Styela clava: one gene and its partner. The protein of the gene in region 1 purifies or fractionates together with the protein of each later gene. This does not show direct contact. Links are inferred from orthologs where the notes say so. Each region holds a gene or a part of one and is shown on either strand. Other genes may lie near its edges. The genes, in order: tRNA pseudouridine synthase Pus10-like and protein Abitram-like.

What was found.
Region 2: the proteins of tRNA pseudouridine synthase Pus10-like (region 1) and protein Abitram-like purify together in Homo sapiens (affinity purification with mass spectrometry; 3 studies listed by BioGRID and IntAct, counting the BioPlex papers as one, with this or other methods). This does not show direct contact. The link is inferred for Styela clava from reciprocal best matches to the Homo sapiens genes PUS10 and ABITRAM.

What each region holds. Positions count from the first base shown.
Region 1 is NC_135263.1:15,851,840-15,863,554, reverse strand, and holds tRNA pseudouridine synthase Pus10-like, read left to right. Parts: upstream 1-7,694; 5' UTR 7,695-7,699; coding exon 7,700-9,250; 3' UTR 9,251-9,482; downstream 9,483-11,715. Other genes in the region: HAUS augmin-like complex subunit 1, read left to right, coding at 5,957-6,673; meckelin-like, read right to left, coding at 11,324-11,404, 11,502-11,644. UniProt on the Homo sapiens protein: Protein with different functions depending on its subcellular location: involved in miRNA processing in the nucleus and acts as a tRNA pseudouridylate synthase in the cytoplasm.
Region 2 is NC_135252.1:13,789,868-13,802,166, forward strand, and holds protein Abitram-like, read right to left. Parts: upstream 2,354-12,299; 5' UTR 2,206-2,353; coding exon 1,372-2,205; 3' UTR 530-1,371; downstream 1-529. Other genes in the region: protein FAM136A-like, read right to left, coding at 91-504; serine/threonine-protein kinase Chk2-like, read right to left, coding at 4,939-5,298, 5,522-5,607, 5,807-5,928, 6,449-6,621, 6,881-7,070, 7,618-7,733, 8,067-8,181, 8,609-8,699 and 3 more. UniProt on the Homo sapiens protein: Actin-binding protein that regulates actin polymerization, filopodia dynamics and increases the branching of proximal dendrites of developing neurons.

The DNA of each region.
Region 1 (11,715 bases):
ACATTTCGTCGCAGATGACTATTATATGGTAACATGTTTTTCACATTGAACTCATAATGTCCCACGAGAACAAAAAAGGAACTAGAGCTGCGTGCAGCTTTAACAGGCTTCCCGCGTAAAAAAAACTGAAAACGCGTCTTGCTCACTGGAGCGTGAAAGCGTGGTCAGTCATGCATAAAATTTGCAATTTATGATGGGGGACTTATTATCTGCATGTGATGTAAATTTCAAGTCTCTAAGTAGTGTCGTTCTCGAGAAGAAGATGAAAATGTAAAATCCTATATTGCTCACTGGAGCGTATCGCCGAGGTCACTCATGCGTATCCTTGACATATCGTATCCGGAACATGTCCATTAATCATTGTTATGAATTTCAACCCAATAGCATGTATCAATTTTGAGCAATCGCAAAAAAACTGAAAACGCGTTTTGCTCACTGGAGCGTGAAAGCGTGGTCAGTCATGCATAAAATTTGCAAATTATGATGGGGGACTCATTGTCTGCATGCTATGTAAATTTCAAGTCTCTAAGTAGTGTCGTTCTCGAGAAGAAGATGAAAATGTAAAATCCTATATTGCTCACTGGAGCGTATCGCCGAGGTCACTCATGCGTATCCTTGACATATTGTTTCCGGAACATGTCCATTAATCATTGTTATGAATTTCAACCCAATACCATGTATCAATTTTGAGAAATTGCAAAAAAACTGAAAACGCGTTTTGCTCACTGGAGCGTGAAAGCGTGGTCAGTCATGCATAAAATTTGCATTTTATTGCTAGCTGAGAACTTCTGCACATTTGAGGTGAATTTCAAGTTTGTAGGACCAATTTGAAAAAAAAATAATAAAAATAAATAATAACTAGAGCTGCGTGCAGCTTTAACAGGCTTCCCGCGTAAAAAAAACTGAAGACGCGTTTCGTTCACTGGAGCGTGAAAGCGTGGTTAGTCATGCATAAAATTTGCAGTTTACGATGGGGGACTTATTATCTGCATGTGATGTAAATTTCAAGTCTCTAAGTATTGTCGTTCTCGAGAAGAAGATGAAAATGTGAAATCCTATATTGCTCACTGGAGCGTATCGCCGAGGTCTCTCATGCGTATCCTTGACATATTGTATCCGGAACATGTCCATTAATCATTGTTATGAATTTCAACCCAATACCATGTATCAATTTTGAGAAATCGCAAAAAAACTGAAGACGCGTTTTGCTCACTGGAGCGTGAAAGCGTGGTCAGTCATGCATAAAATTTGCAAGTTATGATGGGAGACTCATTATCTGCATGTGATGTAAATTTCAAGTCTTTAAGTATTGTCGTTCTCGAGAAGAAGATGAAAATGTAAAATCCTATATTGCTCACTGGAGCGTATCGCCGAGGTCACTCATGCGTATCCTTGACATATTGTATCCGGAACATGTCCATTAATCATTGTTATGAATTTCAACCCAATACCATGTATCAATTTTGAGAAATTGCAAAAAAACTGAAAACGCGTTTTGCTCACTGGAGCGTGAAAGCGTGGTCAGTCATGCATGAAATTTGCATTTTATTGCTAGCTGAGAACTTCTGCACATTTGAGGTGAATTTAAAGTTTGTAGGACCAATTTGAAAAAAAAAAATAATAATAATAATAATAATAATAATAATAATAATAATAATAATAAATAATAATAATAAAACACAGGAATACAATAGGTTCCCTGCTGACAAGCAGCGGGAAGCCTAATTAACGTCGTCATTGTGTAACAATACATGTATATGCCGAGGGAAATTTTTGATTTAAGGAGAATAAACACCGGCGTAAAGATGTTCAAAACACGCCATGCTGACGAAAAAAATCGGCGATTGTAACAAAATAAAATCGCGCACGTTATTAGCGGCCTGTTAAGTCTTCCAGAAATGTCAAAAGAGAAAAGATTCGACCCCTAATTTATTAATATGTTCGTCAAGTGTCAAATTTACAGCTTTAGTATGAAATTCAGATTCATTTATGGCTTGTGTTAATCCTATTAAAAAAGGTTCAGCATTTTGAATAAGTAAAGTACTTTTAACTTGCCCAGGAATATTAATCTGAAAGTAACAATTTTAACATTTATTTTGGGGCTCCGCAAATAATATTCAACTTTTCAAGGGCTCCGCAACACCAAATGTTTGAGAACCCCTGCTCTATGGGATTATTGGGATACGTTTTTTGTGTGCTGATTTGTCCTCTAAGACATATTGAAAACCCATACTACTTAGTTCTGATCTTCGTGTCCAAATGTTTAAACATCGCGCTCGTGTTTGATTTCATTTGGTATTGTTTAAGTGGGTATATTCTCTCGGTGAGCTATGTCGAGGAATCGAGAATCGGGATCGAAAATTTTAAGAATCGAATACTTGTAAGTAGTCATACTCACGACACAACTTTAACTGATGGGTCAAATTTTATTGCTGAAATGTAATCAGGGTGTGTACAGAATTGAATTATGATAGTAAATTCTGTCATAGGCCTAGGCTTTGTAACAAAAACAAAATGTTTTGTGGGACAACAATTTCAAAAAGCACTCCTGTTCGCGGCTATGGAGCCTTCTTCAAAAAAGTTTTTATTACACTCATTTCATTAATTCTCCATTGTATAGCTGCGAATGACGGCGTTTTGACTTGTCAGCGCGTTATACCAAGATAAGCCACCAGCCTAGGTGGGTTTGTTTATTTTCCGCAATGAAGGCAAATAAGATTGTAATATTTGAAAAATATATCCAGTTTATGATTTTAAAATGTTTTATAACTGTTTTCCTTTTTTGTACAAAAACCACTAAAAAAATCCTGCATCAAAACCTGAACGTAATTTCAGTTCATTGCTCTTACGGGCTCTCAAAATCTAGCAAAAAAAGTTTTTTTTCGAAATGGGGTAGTTAAAGCAAATAAATTATCTCAAATATATTCCAAAACAGAATCTACCGTGTTTCCCGAAAATAAGACCTACCCTGAAAATAAGACCTAGCCTGAATTTTAAAAATGATTTTAATATAAGCCCTCCCCTTAAAAAGAGACCTAGTCAATAAAGTGAATTTATTTTTAGACCTAGTCGATAGCAAGAAATCTCTACTACGCGTTGTAAATAATTGATAATCTATGTTTTAAAGTTATTTTGAATAAAAACTCTTATTTATAAGTAACTGGATATAGGTTTCCATATTTTGTATATTTGAAAATCTCGTAATTCTCCACTTTGTAATTTTGTTTTTGATTAATGAATCCCCAGAAATCAAGCCCTAGTGTTATTATGCGGAAGGAAATTGAAATAAAACCCAGTCTTATTTTCGGGGAAACACGGTATGCTATTTTATATAAAAAAGCATGATAATACTGATTTTGGAGTAAGCTTTGGCAGTAATAGAATTGAATAGAATAAAATCATTAAATATTTGAAGGTTACAATTGATGACGAACTGAGATCAAAACTCGTATATGTAATATTTTACAGATTAAGGCAGATTGGTGGTATATATATATGTTGTTAAGCAACTTTTATTTCAGTTTTTCTAATTGAATGTATAAGGCGCGGCGGTGTGGCTCAACGGGATAAGCGTTAGGAATACGCTCGCCACCGCACCTCTAATTACTCTGCGTGGGTTCGTAGGTTCGAATCCCATGCAGGGATGGTTATGTGCGAGAGGATCGCTGGACTCGACTCCTCGCCGTCTTATCGACTTTCCTCTCCCCCGGGATAAATATGTAAATCCTATCTTAATGCTGAAGTACTGGCAATGCCGAGGTACTGGCATATATTCAGGTCAAGGCCCAGCAACAAAGTCTTTCTTTCAGGCAGTTTGAATTTTGGAAAATTGCGAACACCGACGAGCAGTCAAATACATTTTCTCGAAATCCCACCTTTTACTTCACAATCACATGGCCCGCCAGACTAGGTGGGCAAACTTTTCGGCCCTTGGTTTAAAAACCTTGCCCACCCCTGGACCATAGATGTTACATGAAAACAAATTGTTATGCATTGTCTCTGCCTGAACTCATCGAACAATGTCAGTTGTAGCAAGTACATAAGGATAGTTACTGTGTATTTTAATATTTTCACCACTTATTGTTAGTAGTGCATGTTATTTGCCTGAAACAAGGTCGTTGTCCCAATTCATTTCCTATATGATATATTTTTCTCACTCAGTGTAGCTCGTCTTTGCCGTTCTTTGTTAGTTAGAAATTTGGTTTCATCACATATACTTGCTTTAAGGTTTCAAGTGTAATTCGTTATTTGGATCAATTCGATTGTGCAACTTTACAATTTAACAATTGGCATTCAATACATTGTGTGCTTTTTGACCTCTGGAGGAGTCAAGATCGGAGTTACACTCTGTTAACGCGTGTTCAATAACACAAGTACATAAGGATAGTTACTGTGTATTTTAATATTTTCACCACTTATTGTCAGTAGTGCATGTTATTTGCCTGAAACAAGGTCGTTGTCCCAATTCATTTCCTTTATGATATATTTTTCTCACTCAGTGTAGCTTGTCTTTGCCGTTCTTTGTTAGTTAGAAATTTGGTTTCATCACATATACTTGCTTTAAGGTTTCAAGTGTAATTCGTTATTTGGATCAATTCGATTGTGCAACTTTACAATATAATAATTGGCATTCAATACATTGTGTGCTTTTTGACCTCTGAAGGAATCAAGATCGGAGTTACACTCTGTTAACGTGTGTTCAATAACACGGGAGTGTGGACACGCAGATAGGGTCGAATCTTCGTTACCCTATACAGTGTCTCACTCGATCGTGTCACTTGTCGTCAGTCACCTGGCACACTTTTCAATTTTTTTTCAATGAATAAAAACATCACATTATATAACCACAATAGCATAAATATAATTGCATTTTAAAAAAACGAGCACATAATAGTTTTCCACTTCTTCTTATGGATTGACAGTTTACCATTTTTAGTTGCAATAGTCTTTTCACAGTTTATATTATTTTTTATCCTATATAAAAATTGGCAAAATTGAGGCTTTCCATTACGCAGTTTACATTTGTATATAAAATATCTGACACATAATAAAACACAGTTTATACCCTGGTTTTGCCCTACCCCCAATAACATTTCTCTATGTAACAAATTAAGGTTTAATCCATTCTCAACGGTTAACCAAGCGTTAACTATTTCCCAGAATTGCTGCACAAATTCACAGAGATAAAATAAATGTAACACAGTTTCAACATGAAAATTACAAAATGTACAATTTGGACTTTGTGTTTTATTTATTCTATATAGCAGGTCATTAGTGGGCACTGCTCGCAAAACAAATTTAACATGGAATGAACGAAGTCTGGATTCAATAACGCAATAAAAGACTTTTTCATACAATGTCACCCAATTATCTAAGTTCCTGCACAATTCTTTTGACCATTTTTTCTATTTTTTCAGTTGGCGGCAAAAAATTTTCATTACAAAGTTTATCATAAATATATCGAGAGGTTTTATCATTGCTTTTTACATCTTCGATCAGACTAAGAATAAGATGTGGATTGACTTGTGATGTTTTTGAAAAATTAGTTTTCCATTCCTGGGGTATACATGATATCCATTTATTACTGAATTTCGTATGATATCTCAAATTTCACTGTTGTATTTGCATTCATAGGAACTCGTTATCTACCCTGTCCGATGACGCTGTTTAATGTCATTTCTCTGTCACACGTGGCGGCCTACGTCAAGGCTGTCCTGAATAAACTTCGCTCTGAACGGCAATTTTATTGGGGAACACGGTAATATGACATCTTTGCCACTACTGATATTTCACTAGCATTTTGTTAGATATGAATTTTGCCTTCCTTCCTACAGTCTTGGTAGGAGGTCAGCAAGGATCCGCGTGAGCTGCGTCGAGCGTCGGTTTGCCAGAATTTACCGTATTCAGCTTAGGTTTTATATGTTGAGCGATTGTAAGACTGGGAAACTGTCATGTTATGGAGGAGTCGTCTTCCAATTATGGGTTAATAATTGATCAAATGAAGATGGAGATCGAGGAATATAAAGTTGATTCTAGTCGTTTTCGTTCTATTCTTTCGTCCGTTCATTTGCCATCAGAGTTATCAAACATAGGAAAACTCTTGGCAAAGTCATTACAAACAACTTCTGATGCATTGGATGTTATAACACCCTGTGCATTGAATTTAACTTTGGCTTTAAGCGATCTAAGCCAGGAGTTGCAGGAATCTGAGATAACGCTTGATTCAAGTCAAAAAAGAATACAAAATTATAAAAGTAAATTTTCTGATATACTTAATACAAAGGAGTTTTGGCGACGTGAGCTGTCACGACTTGAATCGTTAGAAGAGCAGCAACAGCAAGAGAGCAGCAACACAAAGAAATCAACTTCATTTCATTCAAAAAAGATCAAACAATATGACGCCGAATTACGGTCAAATAAACAATTACTTTCATCAGCTGGTTATGAAGACAATATATCGCATGAAACATTAGTATCTTTAGGAAATGAAGTTTCCGAAATGGAAATGAAATTGAAGCCGTTAAGACTTCAGTTAAATTCATATAAAGATCTGCAACCAAGTCTTGCTCAAGCTCAAATAAAACTTGAAGAAAAGAAAATTGAGTTTAAACAAGTTGATAAAGAATTTTCTGATAAACTTGGTGAAATTGGTGCAAATGCACCTAGTCTATGATTCCTATATTTTACATGTGGTATTGTTTGCTACCAGGTAGCGCCACATGTCTGCATATATTTTGAGGTAAACTCAAATGCCCATACTTATTCCCTGGTTTAAAAATGAGAAATGCATAAATAATTTTCATGTGAAATTGCATAAATGTAAATGCTGATCAGTTCATAAAATAGTATGAACGTTAATGTCTGAATGTGCACTTTTGAAGATGTAACAAATTGGTATCAGACCAAAGCCATTCACTTTTGTCATATACTTGTGATTTTAGGTGTTACATTGGAGTTGACATTTCAGCTCAGGGTCAGAGTTGTGAATTAGCATAAAACATTCAACATTAAAGTTTCTGTGATAAACATGACAGCTATTTCTGATTCATAGTCTTAAAATAGAAAAATATAGTTGGAGATACCTTTGGGAAGCTTATAGAATAGAGTTGGTACTTCAGCCTGTGATCCCTATGTACACCTTCAAGTTTCTTGAATAGTTTAGATATGAAAAGATGGACTGTTATTTCAAAAATTTGCTCAGCATCACTATTATATAGAAAATGTTTTGTTATAGATGCATTGTTAATAATTGATTTTTGGACTGCCCTGTTAAATTTTTTATGGAAGTGTTGCTGTTTTCACTTGAATAGAAATCAATGTCAATCGGGCATTGGCAGGATGTAAATACATGTTTTCTTCAATTTTGTGTATTGGTGGATTCTCCCAGAAATAAAAAGACTCTGTGCAAACCATGTTTCAATCATATATTTACCTTCCTACTTAGTAAATATTTTGCATCAAATCTTTGAGAATGTTGGATAGAATCAACATATGAACTTTGCATATTCACCACATGGACTTGGAGCTTGTTGAATGCTCATATTAAGCTATTCTAAAATGTATTAACATATTTGCAATCAACATTTCTATAAATCGACCATACTGCGTTTTTTATAAGAGTATACGTTTTTTTAGCATATCACTGCCATTTCCTAATTTATTGTTTTTTTTAATAGATAATCATTTGTCACATGGCATCATGATGGGTAAAAATCTATGCCCCCGATGCATTTTTATGTTTCTTAATGTTAAAGATGATGAAATATTGAGGAAATCAGAGGAAGAAATTGAGGAAAACCTCATGTCAAGATGGCCCAGTATATTCTCCAAAGAACAAATACTAGATTCCAGTGAATGTGGCGAAATAAAACATTTTTGTCATTCATGTCTTGGCATGCTGCAAGATCAGTTTCTTCATTCTTCAGTTGAAAATATAGCACAAAAGATACAAACTGAACAATATATGTTTAGAAATTTCAGATTGATGATATCGCAACCAGTCCAATTTATTCTTTTTCGAGCTTTCGTTCAACATCATTATAAGAGTGTTATTTCGGATCACAAGCGAAATGGAAATGGATTAGATGTTAAAGACATTTTCAAAATTGTTCTTGAACCGAAATTGGAAAAAGCTCTTTGTTCAAAAGCAGTATACAATGATGATGCTGAACTTGAAGTTACTGTGGTAATAAAACATAGTTTTACAGAATCTCACTTGCTCCCGAAAATTGAAAAATGTTTACCTGAATGCTTCAAGCAATCTAAAAAAGTATTGGAAGGGATGACTAGGAAGAGACCAAGAAATGATCTGACAATATTTACGTTATCTGCGGTATGTCAAGCTTCATCAAAATTGAGTCCCAAGGTTTTAGACGACTTGATTGAACAAAGTTATTTTCAAAATTCTGTGTTTTTGGACCAAATTAAAATCTTGCGGACGCCCATTTATGTGGCCGGAAGGTATTGCAAATATTCACGTGAACTTTCGCAAACACCATGGATAATATCTGGTAAAAGAATATCCGAAATGTCAGTTCAAGAATATATTGCAGATCCGATTAAACTATTATTCAAAGCAGATTCTTATAATTTTTCATCTTCTGGACGAGAAGATATTGATGTTCGAATGTTGGGTAATGGAAGACCGTTTTTGCTTGAATTAGTGAATCCACGATTATGTATTGAAGAAAAAAACAGAGTTAAAAAATTGCAAACTGAGATTAATGAGGTCACTGATATAATAAAAGTAAGAGATCTTCAAATTGTAAGTAAAAATGAAACGAAAAACTTGAAAGATGGAGAAGAGGGAAAAACCAAATCATACTCTGCTGTGTGCTACACTAAGATTAGTCATTCACGCCCAAAAGTTAACAAGCTAACGTTGAAAAGTAACATACTCAAATTGTCTGAATTGAAAAATATTAAAATTGAGCAAAAGACTCCACTGAGAGTATTGCATAGAAGAAATCTTGCTGTTCGTTCTCGAACTATTTTTGAACTTGATGTTGAGATGATTGATGTAACCGATGCCGCAAAAATTGTTAAAATGCCAAAGTTCATTCCAAAAGAGTATATATTTTTCAAACTATGTATGACAACACAAGCTGGAACCTATGTGAAGGAATTTGTGCATGGAGATTTTGGCCGAACAATACCACATGTTGGAATTTTGATTGGTGCTGACACTGACATTCTTTCACTAGATGTGGTTTCCGTAAACCTGGAATGGCCGCTATCATTGCCGAATTGATGAATCAAGATTGAATTGTATGGTTGTTTTGAAGAAAATTTGATTTTCCAATTTTTTGCAATTGCATTATTTAACAACCAACAGGTGTGTTGGCCTGTTTAAGCACTGTGGAATAGTTATAATCATTCATATGTTTGTGTGAATCATGTATTGCATTGTCTTCAATACAAGTACCTCGGCATTGCCATATACATTCAATTAGGAAAATTAAAATAAAATTTGGGAAACAATATTGTGAAGCTTATTTCTATATATTTATGTCACCATCTGTGAGTAGGAGAACAAAAAATATCCTGTGGACTGTTAGAAAAGCTGGTAAAGTTACCTGCTTTTGAAGTAGAATACTAAACTACATTTTTAGTGATTATAATTTTTTATCGGCTTCCAGGTATATGGCGTGTCATTTTCAAGTTGTCTTGTAAATCCTTTCCTAATCGAGAAGGGTCCATTGGGCCCGCAGTCGCCAAATAGTTTTTTCAATGGCATACGATGTTATTTCCGTTCTATTCATTTCAATATTTCGTCGGCTAGCCGTTAGGTTCCTCTTTATTTGATCTCGCCTGTCTGTGGTGCAGAAAAGTAGAACCACTGCTGTATTTTATATCATCGGCCAATGGACTTCTTCGTGTGCCTCAAAAAGCACTCGCAAATCTGAATTCCGACGTATTCTAAATATCGCTGGAACGTATCAAAGGTTGGCAGGCGCAACTGTGACGGGGTCGCAAAATTGTTACTGTTAGGTTTTCTGCAAGGAGTTGATATCGTTTTTATCCCGGGATAGAGGAAGCCGATAAGATGTGATCTTTGAGTTGGAAAAGGGGGTTTGTTACTGATAAACTATGCAGAGATGCAAAAATAGACTTGGATAAAAAAAAATCTTGCCTTAAGCTTTTGCTCGCCTGATTCTATAATCAGCTTTTTTTTAATTTATTTCTATCAATTATTTTATCGCCCGTCATGCTGATTATGGAGTCGAAATGTACACTTTTCGTTATTCTAGACTTAGAGTTTCATCGCACCATCTATTGTCCTGCGTTTAACATTATAAATGTTTGTCGCTATATGCGGCGGTGTGGCTCATCGTGCTAAGCTTTAGGAATACGCTCGCCACCGCACCTATGATTACTCAGCGTGGGTCCGCAGGTTCGAATCCCATGCGGGGATAGTTATGTGCGAGAAGATTCCTCCACCATTCCTGCACCAGTGTTAATGTACGGGTGCATTTCACGTGTGTATATGTACGTGGGTGTAAAGATAATGGGACAATTACCACTTTAAACACATTGCATTAAGTTTTTTAAATTATATACAAGCACGGCGAAATTCGAGTGCCGCCGTAAGGTGGTTATGTTTTAAATACCTTGCCTGACCCAACCCAAATGAACGAACTAGTGAGACAACAATTACTCACACAAACAAGAAGATTTTTTGAAAAAAATAGACTTTATACCACAAAAGTTTCTAAATAGCCTCACTACAATAAAATAACAGATAATACTCTTATTAATAGGTATGTTGTTCATCAACTACATAAAATACAAAATTCACAACATGTTCCCCAATAACAAAATCAAATTTTTGGATTTTGCACTCCGCTGGCCAAACACAACATCTACCTTAATATAAAATCAAAGTTCCGAACAAAATCATTAACTCATTTTTGCTGATAAGCAGAAGCAATATAAGCAATACTTTTTTATTATTTTTAATAGCCAAGACATGTGTTGTGGAGAAAACATGTTTACCAAGCATGTGACCTAATTTACATGGATAGTCCAAAATAAGAAGTTAGAGTTGATTGACTTCTAATGCATCTTCTGCTATTATACTATTGCTCCTCATGCTCAAATTTTAAATGTTTTTGGCAGTAAGGCCAATAAGATTAGTAAATGTTGAGTGAACTATAACCTGCTTCATTGTGTTGTAAGTAATACTAATCATTACTAAATATTGGAAAACAACAATCAATACCCATGCTGCATTTTGCCCTTTCCAATCTGTTTTTGGCCTCTAATAATCTAGATTCAATGAATTAATCAAAAAATATAAATTCGATTTGACTCAGATTTGATTTTAAATCAGAAGCCTCTTGTCAATCAAGGTTTTTCTTGCTAAGTTGTATCTGCCAAGTATTCCACGAAGAGATTTGAACACCTAAAGATGAATATAGTGATATATTGTAAAATTTAATCTGCATTCAAGAGAATCTGAGTAATTTTGATTATAAACAATAAAGCTCAAGTAAACTCACCCCACCAACAATGTATGTGATGACAGCAGCAAGAACAAAGTTTTTAGATCCATAATCAACCAGAGAAAATAGGAGAATATCAAACACAAGTAAAGCAAACTCATGTCCATAAAACAGGATATCAGCAAATGAGTAAGCATCATCTGGTAAAAAAACACAGAGTAAGAAGGTTATGTACCTGTATCATATGTTCGATTTTAAATACAAACTCATA
Region 2 (12,299 bases), on another chromosome or scaffold:
TTAATTGTGCCGCTGAATGGTAGGTTGAGCTTTGAAATACTCCAATTGACTTACAAAACTGTCATACAATTCATTCTATTTATCAAAAAACTATTTAGGTAAAACATCAATAAGTCTCTTTTTAATTCCAGGCAAAAGTTTTAAATGTTCTTCTGCACATTTATATAAACAAGATTCAAATTTTTCTTTGGCAGCCGTTTCTCCTAACGCAGATACCTGGTCTTGCGCAACATCTTGGCAAGCCATCATACAGCGCTGTATCCTGTTCTGAAATCTTTCAAGTTCTTGCTTAACATTGTTTTGCATTTCTGCTAGTGGTCGTTGACAGGTTTCAATGCACCTTTGTACCTCTTCTGCACTTGCAGATGTGTTGTCACAACAATTTGCTCCGCAAAGATACGCCTTTTTCTGATATTTTCTGACGTAGTCCCTCTCTATGTCACGCTGCATTTGACTTGCTCCTTTGTCAATTTCTGATAATTTATTTTGTACCTTTTGATCCATGTTGGTGTTATAATAAATAAATTCACTAGAAGAAGCACAAAATGAATGTGAATGAAAATTGAGTTATGACATGTGATCAGGGATAGCGAGGATTGAATACACAATTCTGAATATATTCAAAAATTGTATTTTGAAATATATTATAAAATGGTTTAGGTTCATCAAAGGTTGTGAAATCAATGTACCTATATCAGTGAGTGTGAAAGCAGAAAATGCAGAATATTTTGAAATCGGGAATTTTAATATAAAAATATTTGGTTGATTTTTTCCAATGGATTCAAACATTTAATTCCTCTTGTACATTCATGCATATGATACCCGCCCAGAAATGAGAATATGGTATTTTTGCAAAACCCCAAAGAAAATCACATAATCGAAGCCGTGGACAACACCTTTCCCATAAAAAAATAAAATGGAGGGAGAATGTACTCATATTACAGTATATAATTAACAAGATAATGAAAAGATACATTCACAAAAATGTGATAATAAAAACACAATGAAGGACTTTTTTCCTCTTTCTATACCTAAATTTTACTGGATAAGCAAGTTTGTTTCCATTTTCCTAGCCAAGTGAGATGAAACACGCAAAAGAAAATAATTGCTAAAAAAATGAAAATATATAAAAATGGAAGAAGTTGAAATTAAGAAATATAAACAAAATCAAATAACACAATAATTCAGAGATAATCGTAAATCTAATTTTAAAGTAATTATGTTACCTTATCAAAAAGATGTTGAAAGTTCATACTCACTACATAAGTGAAAATTACTCAAATCGATGTTTCAAACTATGCATAATTTTGATTTGATTCAAAACCCCTTCGACTTACTCTTAAACAGGGACATTCTGAAGAGAGAATTTTTTCATAATTCATTTTTAATTTTTTTCAAATATTCTTCATATTGGGATTCACTCAAAAGATTATTAGTCAAACGTTCTCTCTCTTGTAACTTTATCATGACGACAGCAATATAGCCATTCGTTTCAGGTTTTTCTTTCAAAAGTTCAGGATATTTCAGCAAGTTTTCATTAACTTCGATTAAATTACCACGAATCCCACTGTGCACTGTATATTTTTCTCCATCACTTAAAGTTACAATACAGAGAGGACTTTCTGGATTTAACCATTGTGCTCCTCGTTTACGTTTTCCAGAAACTTTATTATTTGATCGATCACATTTCAATGTGACCTTGAAACTAACTTCTGATATAGTTTTGTCGGGTGAAAATGCAGGATGACTAGGAGCGAGCGTTACGAGGCATATTTTATTCGAATGCCATAGTATTCTCACATCATTTCGGGTAGTTTTAAAGTCTTCGTAGTTTAAAGTCCCACTCGGTAAATTAACTTTGTAAAGTCGTGTAAAATATCGATCAACAACAGATGGGAATGGTGATTCCTCCAGATCAGAATCATTTTGAACTTTATTAACAGCAATCACAGTATCTTCTCTTTTATCTTCTTTATCATTAGCAAAAGATATCAGAGAATCATTTTTATCTGGAGAAAGATTATTCTTATCAGTTTTTATTTCAAGCTCGGTATCGACCACACCCATATTTTGCCCATCATGGGTTTCTTTACTAACCTTCCCCTGAGAAGGAGATGCGCATTCACTCATTTTATTTTTGTTCTCAAGAATCTGAACATTTCTTTCTACTTTGCTGGCATTTTCTGATACTTCTGTAGTATCCATGACAAATTTATTCAAAGTTTTCAATGTACAGATGTAAAATACCGTGAGCTCCAATTAAATTTGACGTAAAAAACGGTCTGTCAGCTCGTTCAGTCGTTAGATATCCCGATATCGTGCAACTTCTATCACTTTTCCTCTTTGAGATCTTTGTATCCAAGACTTTCCAGTGGCTCTTTTTTCATTAAATTTTTCTCCATACGACAATTGAGATAATCTTTAGCTTCTATTCGACAGGCGCTATTGTCTTGTTTATTCCGTTTTAAACAGTTTAGAAACTGGTCTTTAAAAATCACACATTCGCCGAAATGATCAAGTGGAAACGCGCCTTTCATAGGCGGCACGGGCTTGAAAGTTTGTTGGAAAGGGCCCGCTGACATGACAACTTCCGATACGGAATCGCGGAAATTATTCTCCAGTAAGCTAAAGAACAACAGCGACTAAGGAATGTGATCTAGAAAAAATGGACAAAAACTCCAATTGAAAAGAGTGTACGATCTTGGCGACGACCGCGCACATGTTCTACTCATTCATGCGCGACGGTCAAAATAACTTTTATAGATTACAGTGGGGAGGAGGATTGAAGCAGATGAAGTATGATATGATTCTGAATTTAGTTTTTTTTTCATTTTTTTGGAAGATGGAAAAGACGATAAGGCACTTAAATTGAATGACCATTCACAGCTTCTCCTCCGGTTGCCAGTCCAGATCGAATATAGAAATAGCCAATTTCCAGCTTGTTTAATTCGTTCACCTATTACTGTATTACTTCAGACCATAGACTCTACGTTACGCGAACCAGCCTATGACTGCGAAAAGTCACCCAATCTTGTTGCACATCTTACTAATTTTTCACCGGATTCGTATTCATTGGGCAATCAACTTTGTGATGAAAGGCATATTCCCGAAGCTCGAAATGACGCGTCAACATTGCCGATAGCACCATTAAACTGCAGTCATAACGCAGCATTGTTGTAAGGTAATACCACTTATAAAATAACAATATTACCTAGTTTTACCGAATAATCAATATCATCAGAAGGGTCCACGACAAAGAAGATATGGGAACCGCTGTTTTAGACGTTAATCACGGGTCTCTCACGTTTTTTTATTGGTGTTCACGTCAGACAGGCTAACGGTTTGTCAACATTCCTCGTACATACCTACCGGTCGGGGACCAGAAAATCCACGGGCGGTATTTGCAATAAATACTAGCTTCCAACAATTATCACGGTCCGCTAGCTGCTGCATGATCATACTTTCACCTGCACTAAAAATAATTTGCAAGAATTTCTCAATTCACAAGGTAAGATCTATACCCGTCATATTTTACTCTGTACCGTCTCGTGTGCAGTAACAAGACAGAATCCACATATATACCTATTCAACAGACTCTTACATATTTCGAAACTTATACTGCTCCATAGCATACAAAGAACATTTTTATTTTTTATTAAAATGACCAACGTACAAAAAATAATTACATATTGGCACACCCGAAATGATTTCATTGAGAAATAAAAAGACAATGTACTTGAATGAACAGCATCATGATATTATGGTAAAGCAATAGACATGAGAAATGGAAAAGATATGTGATCAGGTAAAAATGTTTTTGGCAAACTTTTCAGATGTAAAATCGCTTTGCTGAGAGAAATTTACTGGTATACAGATCACAATAATTTTTTACAATTGTCAGATCATCCTTTGGCTTCATTTCGATATTACCTGAAGGTAGAAACAGCCTTCCATAATAATGACCTTTACCGTTAGTGATATCAAAAAAGGAATATTGTTACTTATAACGATTCTCTTCCCATAATTTGAATTCAAAATATTTCAAACTGTTTCTTCATGTTAATCACAGACGACCAAATTCACAGTTCCAAATGATTTAAATATAAAAATACCAAGTTTGAATTGAAAAGTAAATTCTTCCAACATCATCTCACCACTACTCTGAAAAGCACCAATGAATTAGCACTGATGAAAAAGTGACAAAATGGCAGTGTACAAGAAGAGTGAAACGTGTTAGTGGAACATTATTATTATTCAAAAAAGTTTGATTCTGTTACTAAAAGTTTAAAACGAAAGAAAATTATAAAAAAAAGATGGAAAAAAAGAAAAATACAAGAGTGTATCATCCGCTTGTGTCATTAGCAGACAATGACTTTGTCGGCAATTGGCATGCAATAAATTGGTGAAATTTCGCATTCTTACATAACCATACTGTTACAACTACATCCCACAGCATTTCATCTGAGCCCTGAAATCTTACTTGTTTTCACATTTCACAGGGTCAGAGGCTTCAAATACCCTACCAGTTGAAGATTCTCAAATACACAAATTAAGGTTATTTATTGCCAATCTAGCCATAATAAAAACACTGTTAGCTTAAACCTGCTTTTTTGTGCATGCGGATACAAATTCAAGTTCACAAAGTCAAAGCTCAGGATCTCCAACCAGTAAAAGATTTCTAAAAATATAGAATAAGGTAGGTTAATGCTAAATTAGCCAAAATAAAAAAGCTCATCGCTTGCGATCAAAAAATGGAATGCAAACACAAAATGAAAAGTCAAATTGCTTGGGTTTGGGTTCAGATGAAAACATTTCTCCAATTACACAGAACTGCAGTTACCCTGACATAGTATTTTGCTCAGGATTAGAACCAACAGTAATCAGTCACCTTCATGTGAACAAGATAAATTCAATCCTTATGTACTACTGTAGCAATAATCATTTTTTATCAAAGTGAGGTGGGTTGTGCAACTTTGGTGTATCAGGTTCAGCAGCTGAGGTCCCTGCAAAATGCTTTTCCTTCAAATGTAAAGCATCTCCGTCACCATTACTTGAGTTGCTTTCCCCAGAAGTATCAGACGGAAGATGTCGCTTCCCCGTTCTTCTTTCTTCCGATATGCAAGCAGATTTCGTGCTGCTGGAACTAACTTCTTTTTCCTGTACAGCAATGCTGATTCCGTCAGTACCAATCAGCTCATTGTCTTTCTGGATTTTATTTATTAAACTATGATTTGCTGAAGGACTGTTGATAATTGTACTAGACATCAAAGCATGTGCTTTTTTCCGCATAACATCATCCTTGATAGAAAAAAATTTTATTCACAGAAAAATTTGATGAATTAAATATCACGCTCTTGATTAACACACATTTTGTGAATAGCATATTACGACATATCAATTTAATATGTAGACTTTCATCTTAATCATTCTATAGTTTGGGTTCTCAAGGCTCGAGTAAAATACATCATATCTAATAAGGCTGAGAATGGTTAATTGGTTAACAGATTAAAAGATAACCCACCTTCAACCATACATGATCCAGACCTTGTTTTGGCGTCAATCTCTTTTTTGCATCAATTGTTAGGAGACCTTTTATCATAGAAATTGCTGCAAAATAAACTAACATTCAAAAAAGAATAAGAAGCAAAATCTATAAATTTTAAAAAATTGCTGATAATAAAAATTAACGAAACATTTCTAAAAAGAGAGAGCAATGTCACCAAAGTACCATTCTTTGTGAGTGTCTAGCAAATGAAATAACCTTATAAAGTAAGGTGTTTGAGATATAAGTAGTTAGTAATTTTACCATTATCTGATACGCTTTTCCATCTATCATTATCAAAATTATAATATGCAGTTGTTATCTGCTGCAGAAGACCTTGCTTTGTATCTTGGCGATCTCTTGAAAATGGAGGATAAGCAACCAAACTGAAAGAGAAAATAATGATCTCTACTTACAAAATAGATAAATGAAGCTCGCAGGTAAATTACAGTATTATGGATGAGAAACAAAGTGGGTCAGTCTTCGAATCTACCCTTACTGACTGTCAGGTCTTTGATCAGGATTCGGGACTCCGTCACTTTTCGCACCACCACGCTTTTTCTGTCGTATCATTCACTGATCGACAATTACCAAAATTGGGTGATAAGCAAGTACTTGTGGTTGTTTGTACAATATTTCAAAGAGGTCAAGAACAAGAAGTAAAGAGTGCATGAAATTCATAGAAGAGGTAACATTTTTAACTACCAATGTAAAGACCTTTAAAACTACAGAAATTACAAAAATATACATGACCAAGAGCCCAATCAATTAAAAATGCCAAACATATCGAAATTTCTGATGAACGAAATATTAAGCTATATTTACAAGCTAAGATATATACCTATATATTGGTTTTCAATTTAGCCAGTTTGGCTCTTCAAGTTGAATAAATATAAAAATCCATACCAGACATATAGTATTACACCAAGACTCCAACTATCGACTTGTCTAGTATATCCTTCATTAGTAGAACTTCTGAATGATTTAACTAATTCTGGAGCAAGATAGGAAGGAGTACCAGCCTGTGTTTTCATCATGGAAGCTTCACCCACGAGCCTTGAAACACCAAAATCTGTAATCTGAATGTATGGAATAAAATAAATGGAACAGAGTTTGCAACGAAATATTGGCTTATCAATTATTTCAACTAAAAAAAATGAGACTATGCTGTGGATCTTGAGTTCAAAACCCATCCCCTACCAATAAATTGGGTATGCAATGCAAACAAGAGGAAGGTACTCACAAAAATAGTTCCTCATAACACATCTGTGGTTGCTCAAGTGTAAACACCTCATACGAAAACATCAAAAGAAACAAAAATCCAATCCTGATTCTCACCTTTATTAGACATTCTTCATCATCAGACATCATTAATATATTCTCAGGTTTCAAATCTCTATGTGTTACATTGTTATCATGTAAATAAGATACAGCGGATAACATTTGAAAAAATAATAATTTTGCAACTGGTTCATCAAAACCTTTCCCTCTTTCAATAATTCTAGTAAAGAGCTCTCCTCCACAGGCTCTGAAATATTAATCAAAACAGATATGGTTCATATTATACATTACGACTTCAACCAAATAGCAGACTATCCAATGATTTTAAAATACAGCGAAGCACAATGATAGGTCCATGTTAGCTTGTTGTGCTCACACAAAAACAGATAATGATGGAATCACAATTAAATTTCTCCCAGCGAATTATGTAATTTATACTGTTCTGGTTATGTATTTTAGTTCTGTTACCGTAAATATAAACTTGAAAACAAAACATTTTACACCCCAAATAAGGTAGTTTCACTAAACTATTTGATAAAAAATAGCTAAAGATGTTTGCAGCCATGGAGTGCCAAAATTTAACAACTATTCTGAAGACATTCCAAAATAACATTTCCAAATATAGAATATATTTTGATTGGGTCACAGAATCGGCAAAAATCATTGTAAAATTGAATATGGTAATGCAGAATAATGAAAGTTTCCAAGCATTGTTTCGAAAAATAATTTGGCATAGGCATGCAGCTAATCTTTATTACATATTTGCACTGCAAAAAACTTCATTCTAGACTTACAGTTCAAGTACGATGTATAGATTTTGAGGAGAATCGATGACGTCATCCACTCTTATAATACACGGATGGCGTAAAGCAAGAAGTAGTCTGGCTTCTTTCAGTACATCTTCATTGATCTAATAAAAAAGAGAAGAATTTTTTCACACGACACTTATTCATGCCTTCTGTCTCGAACAAGGCCATATACAAGCACAACTGATATCTGATGACATGCGAGCTACTATTTTTACACGAACTATAATCATTCAAGTTCGGCATTGCCTACCCAGTTAATTACACCAGCCCAAGTGATGGCGATGGGATTTGAACCTGAGATGCGTGAATTTTGTACCAGGGAAATTATTAATCCTGCCTCCTTGAAGGATGAGGAATCACATTTTAAAGTTTGAAGTGCTATATTATGTCATCCAGGCCATTCATTCACTGAATTGTGAAGAATATTTACGTACTTTGCCTGGATCTCTTCCATGAAATACAGTTTTTTGTTTGTTTATTATTTTTACTGCATGTCTTCCATAACCACCAAATTTTTGCATAGCTTCTCTTACTTCACCAAAGGCACCACTGAAAACAAGAAGAAATAAGATTTTTATTACGCAATGACATTTCAGGATATGGTGTTTCACAAGAAAGCTAACAAGGTCAAAGGTTAATCAAATGGCAAACCATGTTCTCTCACCCAGGTATCAGTCCATATTGGGTATGGGAATAGTTCACCAGTTATTCAGTTCAGATGTATCGATTTGGTGATGGAGGAAGCCAAATCCAAACAAAGCTTATGTTTGCCATTTAAAGACAAGATTATGGCTACAATTTGAGTACAATTTTCAGAGGTGTAGATTTGCAGTTAAAAGCAAAAATTTGGATTTTTTAAATATATATATAACTGTGTCTACCGTAATTAACAATAGGTGGACAAAATAGCAACCGATAAATATATTGACAACTATACCTGAAAGCTTAGAGAAAAGTTGATGAAAAATGTTCATACTTGCCAATAACTTTCTGCATGATATATTTCTCTTTAAATTTTTGAGGAAGATTGGGATCTTCTTCTTTGCTTTTATCAAAGAATAACAAAACTGAAAAAATAAACATTTATTACATACCGGTAAACATGGCGTCAAAATTGACAATGTAGGTCTCAATAAAGAGCTTATATGCTTTATCCAATTCGCCCTTAGCAATTCCTATGTCACTTACACCTATCTGTCACTACTCACTACTATTTCAACTTATAGTTGAAGGATCTGAAACTTGCTTTGAGCAAACTGGATATATTTTATAACAAACAGGACAGAATTTTCAATAAATTGAATATTATATATGTTTTGAATCACATACTACTGTTTGTCAATGGCATCTATTGGTAAAATTCAGTGTTTCTAAAACAAAATTTTCTTTTCAGTTTTGTCCTGATTTGTATTACAGGAAGTACATTGTTTTGGGTTTGAAAAGTTAGTGACTTCTGACTTAGAACATTGACCACGATCCCCAAGATAATTGCTCAATTATCAGATTTAAAGAAATAACTTTGTATTATTGAATCAACACGTCACAACAAAAAAAGCGTTACATAATTTAAAGAATTTTTAGATCATAGATATTATTATTTATCGGAATCATTAATTATGATATTATTCTATTAGTTTTAAAAAAAACTGCTATATAAATTATACTTTTGAGTTATAAGCTAACTTGAAACTTATTTTCTCTATTATAAACTATTTATAACATTCTAATATAGAACAATGATGAAGATAACCACTTAGGAGACACAGCCTTGCATGAATCGTACTTGATAATATTTTACAACTGACCTCTATTTTTATCAGAACTAATTGATATTTCATCTTTATCACAGAGTGGTCTGGAACCTCTCTTGGGAATTTTTTCTCCGTTGATAAAAACTCCGTTCATGCTGGAGTCATCCAACATAACAGTGTACGTGCCTGTGTTACTTTTTGTCTGAAAAAAGTTGTTTAACAAAATAAAGCTTGAAACTATTTTTCTGTTCTTCTATAAAAGATCAAGTAGGAATCGTATAAAATCTAATATTAATATTATGCTTCATTCAGATGTACAAAATTTCCATTCATTCATTTTTGTGCTATTTAAATAATTACCGGTAGGTGGGACTGATATTCAAATTTATACTGTGAGAAAGGGAAGGGATAAGAGGGCAGTTTAATCTTATGATGAACCACACCCTTTCGCCTGGTTAAAATGTCAGGTAGAATAAATTTTTAATACATACCCAGTTTCATACTAATTCAAAAAATAACTCATTAATAATAAATTAAATACTAAACAGCATAGTCAACTTTACCAAAAAAAACAAAAACTTTGACACTTTTAAAATAGGCCTACTATTTAAACAAGTAGGCGGCAAAAATAAACTCGAACTTCTGACTAAAATAAAAAGTACTTACAAAAACCTACCCTTGTGATTGTGAAATGTTTTTTGCTATATGTGGTAAAATGTTGTGTCTGTTTTATTGAAGGAATATCAAACGTATAAGTACAATCCTGTCCTCGACCAAATGTATATATATCTTCCCGTAGGTCTGAAAATAAAATGGGGAAAGAAACATTATGAATAGGCCATAAGAAAAGTATTACAAACTCTTACAAGGTCTCTGCTATAGGAAAACAAGAGCGCTAAATTTTCCTCTGACCAGACTGTTTTTGACCTAGTCGTCTATACACTGATAACAGACTAACTGCCAATACCCCTTTAGTATCACTGATGTTTTATTATTAGAAAATTGGCCATGATGAATCAGTAATTACGAACGTATATTAGACCTAATCATGTTGGTATGGCAGATTGAAAATTTAGGGTTCAAACACCATGGCCATCAATATCATCACACCCAGGCATTAATAAATTAGGCTGACAGTACCAAAACAAAAAAATTCCGGACTTTTCAAAGATTATAGATACGTCTTTATTGACAGCATTAAGTTGCCATTGAAAGGTCAATATATATTATAGTTGATTTTTGTTGTCAATACATAAATATGTCCAAGATTAGTACGAAGAAGAAGTAAAATAGTTTACTAACCAAAAGGATAAAAGCATCTATCAATTGGATATAAAACACCCCATGAAGGTTCATCTGCATCTGCACCTTCATCTGACACAGAGGCTGGTTCCTGTGTTGGCACTGTTTCAGCACTGAACAAGGAAATAAATTAGGGTTAATAATATTTAAAAGGAATAAGAGACCAAGAAAATTCAACAAATCTCAATGGATAAAACAGACCTGTTTTGATTATGAAATTAAAAAAAAATTTACCGTAGGCTTCTACATATCAATAAAAATTAAACCAAAGAGAGATATACCAGACTTGATTAGTATACTAAATATCAACAATTAACGTTAGCACAGTCTGGAATGGCAAAAACCAAATATTATAGTATTCCGAAAAATTTCCTGAATAATAATTTCAAATATGGAATAAATAGCCTATAGAATAATTCAAATAGGGTCATGTAGAACAGATAATATGTAGAAGTTTATGTTTATTCAAAGAATTTCAAATTGATAATGCAGGAGAGTCATAACAAAAAAATGATTAGATTTGTTCTTTATTTTCGAAATCAATTAAAGCTGTTTTTTGATTTTTCAATTTCCTAAATTTTCCATTTGTTTTGAATATCCCTAGACATAGACATCATGATAACTAAGAATTTGGTCAAAGGAGCCATAAATACAATATATGAACTCTTTCTTATATCAGTGAATATCTTATATTATGTGAAAACTCTCAATCAATATACTCCATTTTTAAATTTGTATGTTGTCAGACTAGGACAGGCAATACAGAAAAGAGTCCATCCACTCTCATTAACAATGCGTAAGAAACAGAAATGGCTTAAAATTTAAAACAAATTTTAAGACACATCTTTATATTTTCATCCGCATTACTATACCACTTTTGTAACGCACTACCAGGAACAATGAAGGCTGGTTGAGCTGACTTAAAAGTGGATTAGGAGTACACATCCCCGCATTCCAAGCATATCTATACTTATGAGTTATATATACTGATTAAGGTTTTCAAAAATATTCTTATGGCCTATTTATAACAATTTGAACATATTGTAAATTTTTTCATATTTTGACATGGAATTAACAAAGTAAAAAATCCAAGCTTTGAGTTGTTCAGATATATGAACACACAGATAGACTGGATAGTGTTGGAAGCAGTAGCTAAGAAACACCAGATTTTCAAAGACTTGGCACATGAATACTTGAAATATATAAAGAAAAATGAAAAATGTTAGACTTTTCTAGGGCCCTAAGGGTTGAGCTTGTCCTATTTCAATAGCATGATAAAAATAATAATGAAAGATAAATATAACATGTAGGGTATATTCATTCGAGATGTCGAGTGGGAAAATTTATAATCAACTATAGTGCCATTTAAAAAAAGAATTTAACGTGGGGTCTAAGTTGACAAAAATCCCAACCTTCAATCCCGGACGTTTATGAGATTATGATCCAGCTCAAAAAACCCAAAACCTTTGGTTAAAAGACTGTTAATAAGAACGCTTAGTAAACCTAATGCTTTCTGGGTTTCTGCGAGTATTTTGACTTTGTTCACTCTCATTGAAAGTCCAACTTTAGAGATTTTAGAATTTGAATATATGACTCCAGCTCCAGTGAAAACTT